Drosophila melanogaster: one gene and its partner. Changing the gene in region 2 together with the main gene of any one other region gives a genetic interaction. Each region holds a gene or a part of one and is shown on either strand. Other genes may lie near its edges. The genes, in order: sicily and Bsg.

Region 1 (4,631 bases), on a different chromosome or scaffold from region 2:
ATACTAACAACCCCTATCACTTTAAAACGGATTTTGTAAAATTAATTTTTGGCCAAATTTTCACATTTTTTGTAAGGGGTAACATCATCAAAATTTGCAAAAAAATGAAAAATCCTAGAATTCCCAAACTTGAATGCAAATCGATTGGGATTTAAAAAACAAACTCAACGAGGTATGACATTCCATATTTGAGTCATTATTTTCAATGTTTTGATCAAAATACCGAATATTTTTTTCACAAAAAATCTGGGAACTACTTTTGGCAAAAAACTCAATTTTCAAGTTGGCTCTTTTGGCTATAACTTGTCTAAAAATGGTCACAGAGCAAAAATAATTACCATTTTATACTCCTTATGACCAATACTAACAACCCCTATCACTTTAAAACGGATTTTGTAAAATTAATTTTTGGACAAATTTTCGCATTTTTTGTAAGGGGTACCATCATCAAAATTTGCAAAAAAATGAAAAATTCTAGAATTCCCAAACTTGAATGCAAATCGATTGGGATTTAAAAAACAAACTCAACGAGGTATGACTTTCCATATTTGAGTCATTATTTTCAATGTTTTGATCAAAATACCGAATATTTTTTTCACAAAAAATCTGGAAACTACTTTTGGCAAAAAACTCAATTTTCAAGTTGGCTTTTTTGGCTATAACTTGTCTAAAAATGGTCACAGAGCAAAAAGAATTACCATTTTATACTCCTTATGACCAATACTAACAACCCCTATCACTTTAAAACGGATTTTGTAAAATTAATTTTTGGCCAAATTTTCACATTTTTTGTAAGGGGTAACATCATCAAAATTTGCAAAAAAATGAAAAATCCTAGAATTCCCAAACTTGAATGCAAATCGATTGGGATTTAAAAAACAAACTCAACGAGGTATGACATTCCATATTTGAGTCATTATTTTCAATGTTTTGATCAAAATACCGAATATTTTTTTCACAAAAAATCTGGGAACTACTTTTGGCAAAAAACTCAATTTTCAAGTTGGCTCTTTTGGCTATAACTTGTCTAAAAATGGTCACAGAGCAAAAATAATTACCATTTTATACTCCTTATGACCAATACTAACAACCCCTATCACTTTAAAACGGATTTTGTAAAATTAATTTTTGGACAAATTTTCGCATTTTTTGTAAGGGGTACCATCATCAAAATTTGCAAAAAAATGAAAAATTCTAGAATTCCCAAACTTGAATGCAAATCGATTGGGATTTAAAAAACAAACTCAACGAGGTATGACATTCCATATTTGAGTCATTATTTTCAATGTTTTGATCAAAATACCGAATATTTTTTTCACAAAAAATCTGGAAACTACTTTTGGCAAAAAACTCAATTTTCAAGTTGGCTTTTTTGGCTATAACTTGTCTAAAAATGGTCACAGAGCAAAAAGAATTACCATTTTATACTCCTTATGACCAATACTAACAACCCCTATCACTTTAAAACGGATTTTGTAAAATTAATTTTTGGCCAAATTTTCACATTTTTTGTAAGGGGTACCATCATCAAAATTTGCAAAAAAATGAAAAATCCTAGAATTCCCAAACTTGAATGCAAATCGATTGGGATTTAAAAAACAAACTCAACGAGGTATGACATTCCATATTTGAGTCATTATTTTTAATGTTTTGATCAAAATACCGATTATTTTCTTCACAGAAAACTGGGAAACTATTTTTGGCAAAAAACTCAATGTTTAAGTTCGCTTTTGTGGCTATAACTTGACTAAAAATGGACTCACAGCAAAAAGAATTACCATTTTATACTCCTTATGATCAACACTAACCATCCCTTTAACTTTTTAATTGATTTTGTAAAATTAATTTTTGGACAAATTTTCGCATTTTTTGTAAGGGGTACGTACCATCATCAAAATTTGCAAAAAAATGAAAAATTCTAGAATTCCCAAACTTGAATGCAAATCGATTGGGATTTAAAAAACAAACTCAACGAGGTATGACATTCCATATTTGAGTCATTATTTTCAATGTTTTGATCAAAATACCGAATATTTTTTTCACAAAAAATCTGGAAACTACTTTTGGCAAAAAACTCAATTTTCAAGTTGGCTTTTTTGGCTATAACTTGTCTAAAAATGGCCTCACAGCAAAAAGAAAAGAAGTCAAGAAGATTACGCATGGCAAAAAAGCAATATTTACGGAAGATAATGTATTTATATACCTAAGCTAAGCTTTATATGGTAAACTACCTAAGCTAAGCTATAATAATGCATTATAAATTTACCAACAAGTCACATACAGCATTTTGAATCTTCCGCCAAATGAAATTTCCGCGTAATCGCGAATACCCCATATGTAGTAACTTTCTGACAGACCGAGTGCGATCTGGCAGCACCGCTCAGAACATATGTTCAGTTGTCTGGTGGAAAGAAGAAGCACAGATGCGGCGCCTGGTGCGAAATTGGAATTGCCGATTGTTATTTAACGCCAAATCCGGCCAAGAAATTGTCAGCCATGCCGGAATTCACCAGGAGGCCAAGACCAATGCGATTCCCAGGGAAAAGAAAGTGATTGAGGCGGACAAGAATGGATACGGGGCCAAACATTGCATGAGTCTAGTGGAGTAAGTAGCGCAAACTTGTCGATTGAAGTTATCCGTATAATTGAACATGGATCTATTCCGGATAACCAGGAAATACGACTACGAGAACTACCTGTGCACCTTGCTCCTACCACGGGAACTGCGACGTGCTGCCTTCGCCCTACGGGCATTCAATGTGGAGGTCTCCAGATCGGTTAGCGGCCATGTGAGTGGAGCATCGAAATTCCTTGGGGCTTATTTTTTAAGTTAGAATAACGTGGCGCCTTAAATTCAGACTCCGTTCAGACTCTGTTACTCCGCATCAATATTATTGTAAGCATAAGTGGCTTATGTCCGCATCTCATGAATATTATTACCATTTCGAACGGTTTCACAAATCTCTTAATTTCTTATGTACACTGCAAGAGTATAATTTCTCTCCTTCCTTTAAAACGGATAGAGAAATTCGTAGAATAAGCAACACTTCGTAGTTTTTAAACTTCTTATTTCTGTCCAGTAAAATCGTTTATATAATGACAAATATCCTTGCAGCAAATTGAGCCGCAAATAGCCAAAATGCGCCTTAAGTTCTGGCACGACTCCATAGACAAGTGCTTTGAGCCGGATTCCCAAAGATCGTACGTGGAGGACCAGCCTGTCCTGCGCGAACTGAAGCACACGGTGGGCAGTCGCAAGCTAAATAAGGTATATTTGCGCCGTCTGGTCACAGCACGGGAACGTCCGCCCACGCATGCATTTGAGTCGATACGCGAGCTGGAGGAGTACACGGAACAGACCTTCTCTTCGCTATTGCTCCTGCTGTTGGAGGTGGGCGGAGTGCGTGACCTAAATGCTGATCATGCCGCCTCCCACTTGGGCAAGGCCCAAGGCATCGCCACCCTGCTGCGATCGATACCGCTGGCAGGACGTCAGCAGGCGCCCTGCATTCCGCTCGAGGTGCTGGTGCTGCATGGCGTCAGCCAGGAGCGCATCATTCGCTCTAAGAGCGACGACAAGGGTGTCGAGGACTGTATATTCGATGTGGCCAGTGCCGCCAATACGCACCTAAAGCTCGCCAGGCAGCTGCACGATAAGGTGCCGCCGCAGGTGCGCAAGATCTTCCTCTCCGCCGTGGCCACGGATGCATATTTGGAGCGCCTCCGCCGTGCCAACTTCCTGTGAGTTCCTTTGTTTTATATTGCTTTGTTTTATATTACGACAAACACAGGAGAGAACCAGCTTCTTTTTGTAGTTAAGATGTTATTTTTATCCAGTTATAAGTACGATTTGCCTTTATTGAGACTTCTTTATTTCAAAACCTAGCTATAGTTTGTTGGTTGTTCAGTATTCATGGAGCGGACCCTTCTTTTTATCAATCCCCATAATAATATAATAATTTTCCCATCTTATAGGCTAACCCACAAGAGCTGCGTAGGCCGCGACACCTTACTGCCAGCACGTTTATTCTGGAAGTCGCTGCTTAATCGGTTCTGATAGCGATTATGTTAGTATGTAGTACGAAATAAATTCTTCATTGTTGACTTCTTTAATAAAAATCACTTTAAAATAAGAGCTCTTACTTTTTCTCGAATCAATAGAAGAGGATTTCCAATGTTTATAAGAATACGAATATGAATCGGATCGGGGATCTTTTGGATGAAATGGGTTAAGAACGGTTGCAGGAATATCGCTATCTCGCTTCGAATCGGGACGTAATTACTATCGATGACAGGTGCACCAAAGGTTCGTCCCGACGAAGGTATCGGTGGATACGATGCAAGACCCGATTGGTACAGTAGTTGCTAGCTGATTTCAGAGCGTTTCAGGCGCAGTTTTAGTTTTTTATGAATGTTAGAATTGATGTGGAAAGTGTGTGTTGGATATTAATGAGAACGGAGCAGTGCGACGATCGCTCAACAAGATAAGCACCGTTTGTTTTTGGGCCCGTTTCCGGCTTCCGGTTGCTAGTTCCGGAAAAATTGCAACGCCTACTTTACGCGTACTTTTGGCATGGTGAGTTTTTGGCGCGCTTTCTTCGCACTCCTGGATTGAACTTTGTAAACCCAGA
Region 2 (5,028 bases):
CGAATACCCCCAATCAACTATGAATAAATGCCAGCATATGAACAGCACGAAAAAAAAACTCAATTAATACACCTTGAATGTGAAAATAGCTGCATGGGGCTAAATAATGTACGAAACAAAACAAAACCAGCCAAACGTTCAGTTTAGCGAAAAAAAAAATCAAAATTCATGAACATACGTAGGTTTTGGTAGTGAGCCAGAGCCAGACGGACATTCAGATATTCAGACGGACGGACGGATAGATATGTAGATAGATGGATGTATGGAATAAAGTAGAATAGGTAAATGGATAGTATGCATAGAATAATAAATAGATGGAACCGCCCGCGCGGGCATCATAGACAAATCCCCAAGGAAGGTGGAAGGTGCGAGGCGGGGCTGCCCAGTTCCATATGTAAACAAAATGCAGGCCACCGTTGCCGGTTCGTATCGGGTACGTATCGGGCACGTATCGGTTAATCGGTAAATCGATTCGTTCTGGTCCGCTTCGCTTTGGGTCGGCTAAAGTTAATATAAACAAGCGGGGAAAACCAGAGACAGGCCGTAATTATTGGACCGCATGTAAAATAGTCTTCTTAAGGCTAAACAAAAATTCTTAAAGATAGCCCTCACTAGAACCGAAATGAACTTGATACTCTGCTTTTGCGTCTGCTTCTGCTTCTGCTCCTCTGCTTTTTTTTTCCGACATTCGCCGCTGTTCTCTTTCAGCAATTGTGTGGAAAATTGAAAATCAAATGAAATGCGGTCGCGCGAACAGTGGAAAAGCGACGGAAAACCTACGACGAAAACGGCAGGGGGAAAAAACATAAGCAACAATGTCAATATGGCAGCACTGCAATCCAATCCCAAGTCCATCCAACCGACCCAACAATATGAACTATAAAAGCAACACGAAAATATCGAAGTCCGCTTAACTAGAGGGCAAAACAGTAGAATGCAGCACAGAGACCTTGTCCAAAGTTGGAAAATGGATGGTGGGTGGCTCGTGGGTGGCTGGTGGGTGGATGGTGTCCCGTGCAATATGAAAAGAGAATACATAAAGCCGGGCAAAAAAGAAATGTGATTGTCCATTTTGTGGTTCTATTCAAAGACGAGAACGTGAACGAAATAAAAGTTTCATTTTTAAAAGCGCGGACTCAAATATATTAATATTTTCGAATATCGCTGGTAAAACCCATTTGTGTCTTGTGGCTAAAGGACCAGCAAAGTGCCCCTTTCTGAGATCCCCTAATTTGAAGAATTATCGATACATTTCTCCGATAACTTTACCATTGATTTAAGTCGCCTCGTATTAATACTGTTTGTTTCCATTATTGCGGCTAGGGTCTGGCTTTAGGGTGAACTTGGAAGGGGTAAAAGTCAGGTGGTGGGTGGACGAACACCCTCGCCCTTTGGTGGGTGCACTTTTGTTTTGGGTGGCGGGGCAATTAGGGGGCGTGGGATAAGGTTAGTGGGTGTTACAGTAAGCCACAAACAATCTGCTGTTTTTTATTTATTCCCTTCCTCCTCTTGCTCCACCTCTTTGTTTTGCTTTGTTCGGTTCGGTTGTGTTCTGTTTTGCAATTTCTGCTATCACAGCTGCAGTTTAACCATACTTTCCCCCATATACATATGTATGTATATTTTTTGTATTCCTTTATACTGGGCTGCTACGTACATAGGTGTGTTAATATTATATGTGTGTATGGGTGGGTGTGTGGTTGGGGCAGGGTGATTTTATGGGCGGGGTACAACTTATAGGTTAAAAGGGCCTTCTTTGTTTATCATTATGCTTATTGTAGGGGGTTCATTCTTTTAGATTTAGAGGGGTTTTTTCGGGGGGCTGTACTCACCAAGTGATTGAGCATAAATCGCTAAAAATATCGAGAGGAATGAAAGAGCGCTAGCCAAGAATTTTGCCTCCATCTTTGGTATTGATCCGTTGTTGTTGTTGGTTGTTGTTAATTATGCTGCCGATGTGTGGTTGTTGTTGTTGGCGGTGACTTGTTGTTGTTGTCGTTTTCGTTATTTCCTTGTCATTTGCATTTATTACAGATTTGTGAATTTACTCCGTTTAATGATTGATTAATTATTTGTGGCTGTTGGTTGGTTGGTTGTTGATGTTGTTGTTGGTTGTGGTGTTTCTTTTTCTTTGCTTTTCTTATTTTTTTTTTTTTGTACTTTAAGCTTAACTTACTAAATCATTATGGTAAATATTAATTTATAAATAGATCTTTAAATGTATACGTTATTAGGCTTAGTTATTTAATTTGATATTAGTTGATGCTGTTGATGTTGTTGGTTGGTTGTTTGCTTTGGATCTTCCGTTTGGTGTTTTGCTTGAGTGCGAATTTTTCTATTTTTTGGCTCTTCCAGCTTTCCTATTTTGTTCTTAATTCATGAAGCTATATTCGCAAATAAAAATATTTAAGAAAATTTCTCATTTTGCATTTATTTTCGTATGAAGGCAAACTTTTCGTGCGCTTCCCCGTATTCTTTTTGTTGTGTTTTTCGTTCGGTTTTATTTGTATGCTTTTTTCCAACAACAAAGGCAAAAGGAAAGACGAGTGAGAGAAAACTTTTTAAAATTATACATCAATATTCAAATTAAGAAGAGATTGTGGAGAGGAGCGGAATCAAGGATACAAAAACAAATCGAAAAGATCAAAATCAAAACGAAAGCCGAACGAACAACATTCAACATTCAGCTAAATGTATAATTTTTCAAATGTCACATTTAATTTTTTTTTGTTTTATTTTCACTGCAGCTAAGCACGTGCTGTTCACATAAGTGGGGCGGCGGGTGGTTGGGTTTTTCTTTTAGCCCGCTAATTTAACGTTAACTTTTGCAGTTCTTTTTTCACACGCACTCACACAAACGCACATCTAACTTTTCCCAGTCCAAAAGTTCTATTTTTTTGCTGGCTAAGCAGAAAAAAGAAATTATGGCACGTTGACGACGAAAATACTATTTTTCTGGCTAGCCAACGAGCAAAAGAGAGGGAGATAGAGTGAAAGCAAGAGAAAGAGAGTGAGGGATTCTTGAGACTGAGAGCAAATAATTATGTTTTACACAAGGAGCGCAACAATTTCTAGCTGCTTTTTAGCCAATGGCCATTGTTGTTGCTGCACGTACTTGTACTAGTGTAGTTGTTGTTTCTGTTTGGCTGTTCTTGCACAACGGGAACACAAAAAGCAAACGAAATTTGGCAAACGGACGGGCCAAAACGAGGCAAACAGAACAGAGCGAACAGAGCGAACGCGGCGAATTCAGCGAGCAGACTGAATCGCACACATGACCAACGGACGAGAGTAGCCGCCTTCGCTGCGGCAGCGACGTCGACGCACAGTGATTTGGGTTCAGTTTGACATACACTTGTCAGCTTATCTAAATAGTTCGGCCGTTATCTTGACCAGACCGATTACGAGTACTGTACAAAATGGCGAAAAATAAATCGAGTTTAAACGACATTTTTTCATTATACAGGAATCTTTAGGAATTTGAAATCACCTGTTTTATTTAAAACAAAATGCAGAAGCTAGGTCTGACTTCAAGCTACTAAATTAGCTAGAAACTTAAAAAAAATTTTAAAACCATAAATTGAGTTATTAATCAATATTTGCTCTTGGAAACCTTATCTTACAGTTCAATAGGAATTTCCCAAATTGACGGAATTACAATGTACTTGTGCTCGTATGGGCCTGAAAGTACGCTACTTTTATTCACTTTTCTCTCAGCCTATAGAAGCACTTAAGGAACAGTATCAAACAAATTGCAATCGAGCAATGATTCAACAAAAATCACCAAGTGACAGAGTCTGCGAGTAATTACGACCAATTATTTGACGATCGAAGAAAAATAGCATTCCATTTGCTTCACCGCATGACGTCCGCATAAAAGCTGATAACAATTGGCCCGAGATCTATTATTACTTCTAGAATTTCGTATTGCGGATGTGTCGAGAAAACAACTATTCCCACTCTTATCAATGCGGGAGGACAGTCACCGAGTAAGCAGAATAGATAAGAAAAAAAAAAGGGTAGAAGCTATCACCAGAGCTGGCCGATTTCATTATCCATGAACATTAGCTTTAAAATTCCTCAACTGACGAAAGGCATCAATGTTTGAAAAACAGCTAAAATAATAAACCTTACATAAGAATTAAAATTCTTACTCGTTTCTATTTCCCCCCAAAATAAAAGCCATAAAACACGTAAACATTTTTGAAAGCAATTGTGTTATACAAGGAAACAGCTCAAAAAAAACTAGTCAAAATAAATTCTCAAACTTTTGGCAATAAAACCGTCGAACGGACAACGCTAAATCATAGTGCGCTGGATTTTTTGTTTACCGCCAGACGACGTGCGGCCCTCAGCAGAGCAGATAGAACGCCAGTTGAAATGTTTCCGTAACGTGTCACGAATCCGACTCTCATTCTATCGCATTAAGATAAAGCCCCAATGCAGTACTTTGAACAAATACGGGACTCCGTCCGTCCGTCCGTATCACCAACACCAATACTACCGCAACCAAAAACCACACCAACGTCTTGGCCACATGATATAATACCGTAGCCGGAGCATGGTCGACAACGACGTCAGATGTCCGCGGCCCAGTCGCCGAGTCCCAAAGACCCAGACCACCAGACCGTCCAAACTGACCGCCTCTGGTCCATTGCCGTCCCGCTCGCACTGCCGCTCTGGTTTCGGGCGGTTCTATGCGGTTCGCACACGAATGTAGATCTCCATCTTTTCGGAAGGCAGGGAACTTTGCTAATTCGGCATGGGTGTTGGAAAGGTAGGGGTTTTTTGCGGGTTGGCGGCATCGAGGGGGGTTGTCTCGTCGCATTTATTATTGGTCAGCCGTATTTATTTTTACAAATTTGCGAGAGCAAATATGAAATCAGCTGTTCGCATTGCCCGCTGAGATTAAAGCGATCAGGGGGGTATATAGTATTTGATGAGGTGTTTCCAACAACCAAACCATAGAGAACATTTTGCAATGCTTGCAATGAGTTCATAAATAATAAAGAAGCAAGAAGAGTCATA

What was found.
Region 1: of Bsg (region 2) and sicily, changing one suppresses a phenotype caused by changing the other (phenotypic suppression), as found in Drosophila melanogaster (one study listed by BioGRID).

The regions. Positions count from the first base shown.
Region 1 is NC_004354.4:11,889,615-11,894,245, forward strand, and holds sicily (severe impairment of CI with lengthened youth), read left to right. Parts: upstream 1-2,117; 5' UTR 2,118-2,423; coding exon 2,424-2,605; intron 2,606-2,674; coding exon 2,675-2,789; intron 2,790-3,115; coding exon 3,116-3,741; intron 3,742-3,975; coding exon 3,976-4,057; 3' UTR 4,058-4,131; downstream 4,132-4,631. UniProt on the Drosophila melanogaster protein: Involved in the assembly of mitochondrial NADH:ubiquinone oxidoreductase complex (Complex I) at early stages. Interacts with cytosolic Hsp90 to chaperone the Complex I subunit ND-42 in the cytoplasm.
Region 2 is NT_033779.5:8,086,541-8,091,568, reverse strand, and holds the start of Bsg (basigin), read right to left. Parts: upstream 3,266-5,028; 5' UTR 3,053-3,265; intron 2,960-3,052; exon of another isoform or gene 2,864-2,959; intron 2,467-2,863; exon of another isoform or gene 2,176-2,466; 5' UTR 1,906-2,175; coding exon 1,833-1,905; intron 1-1,832.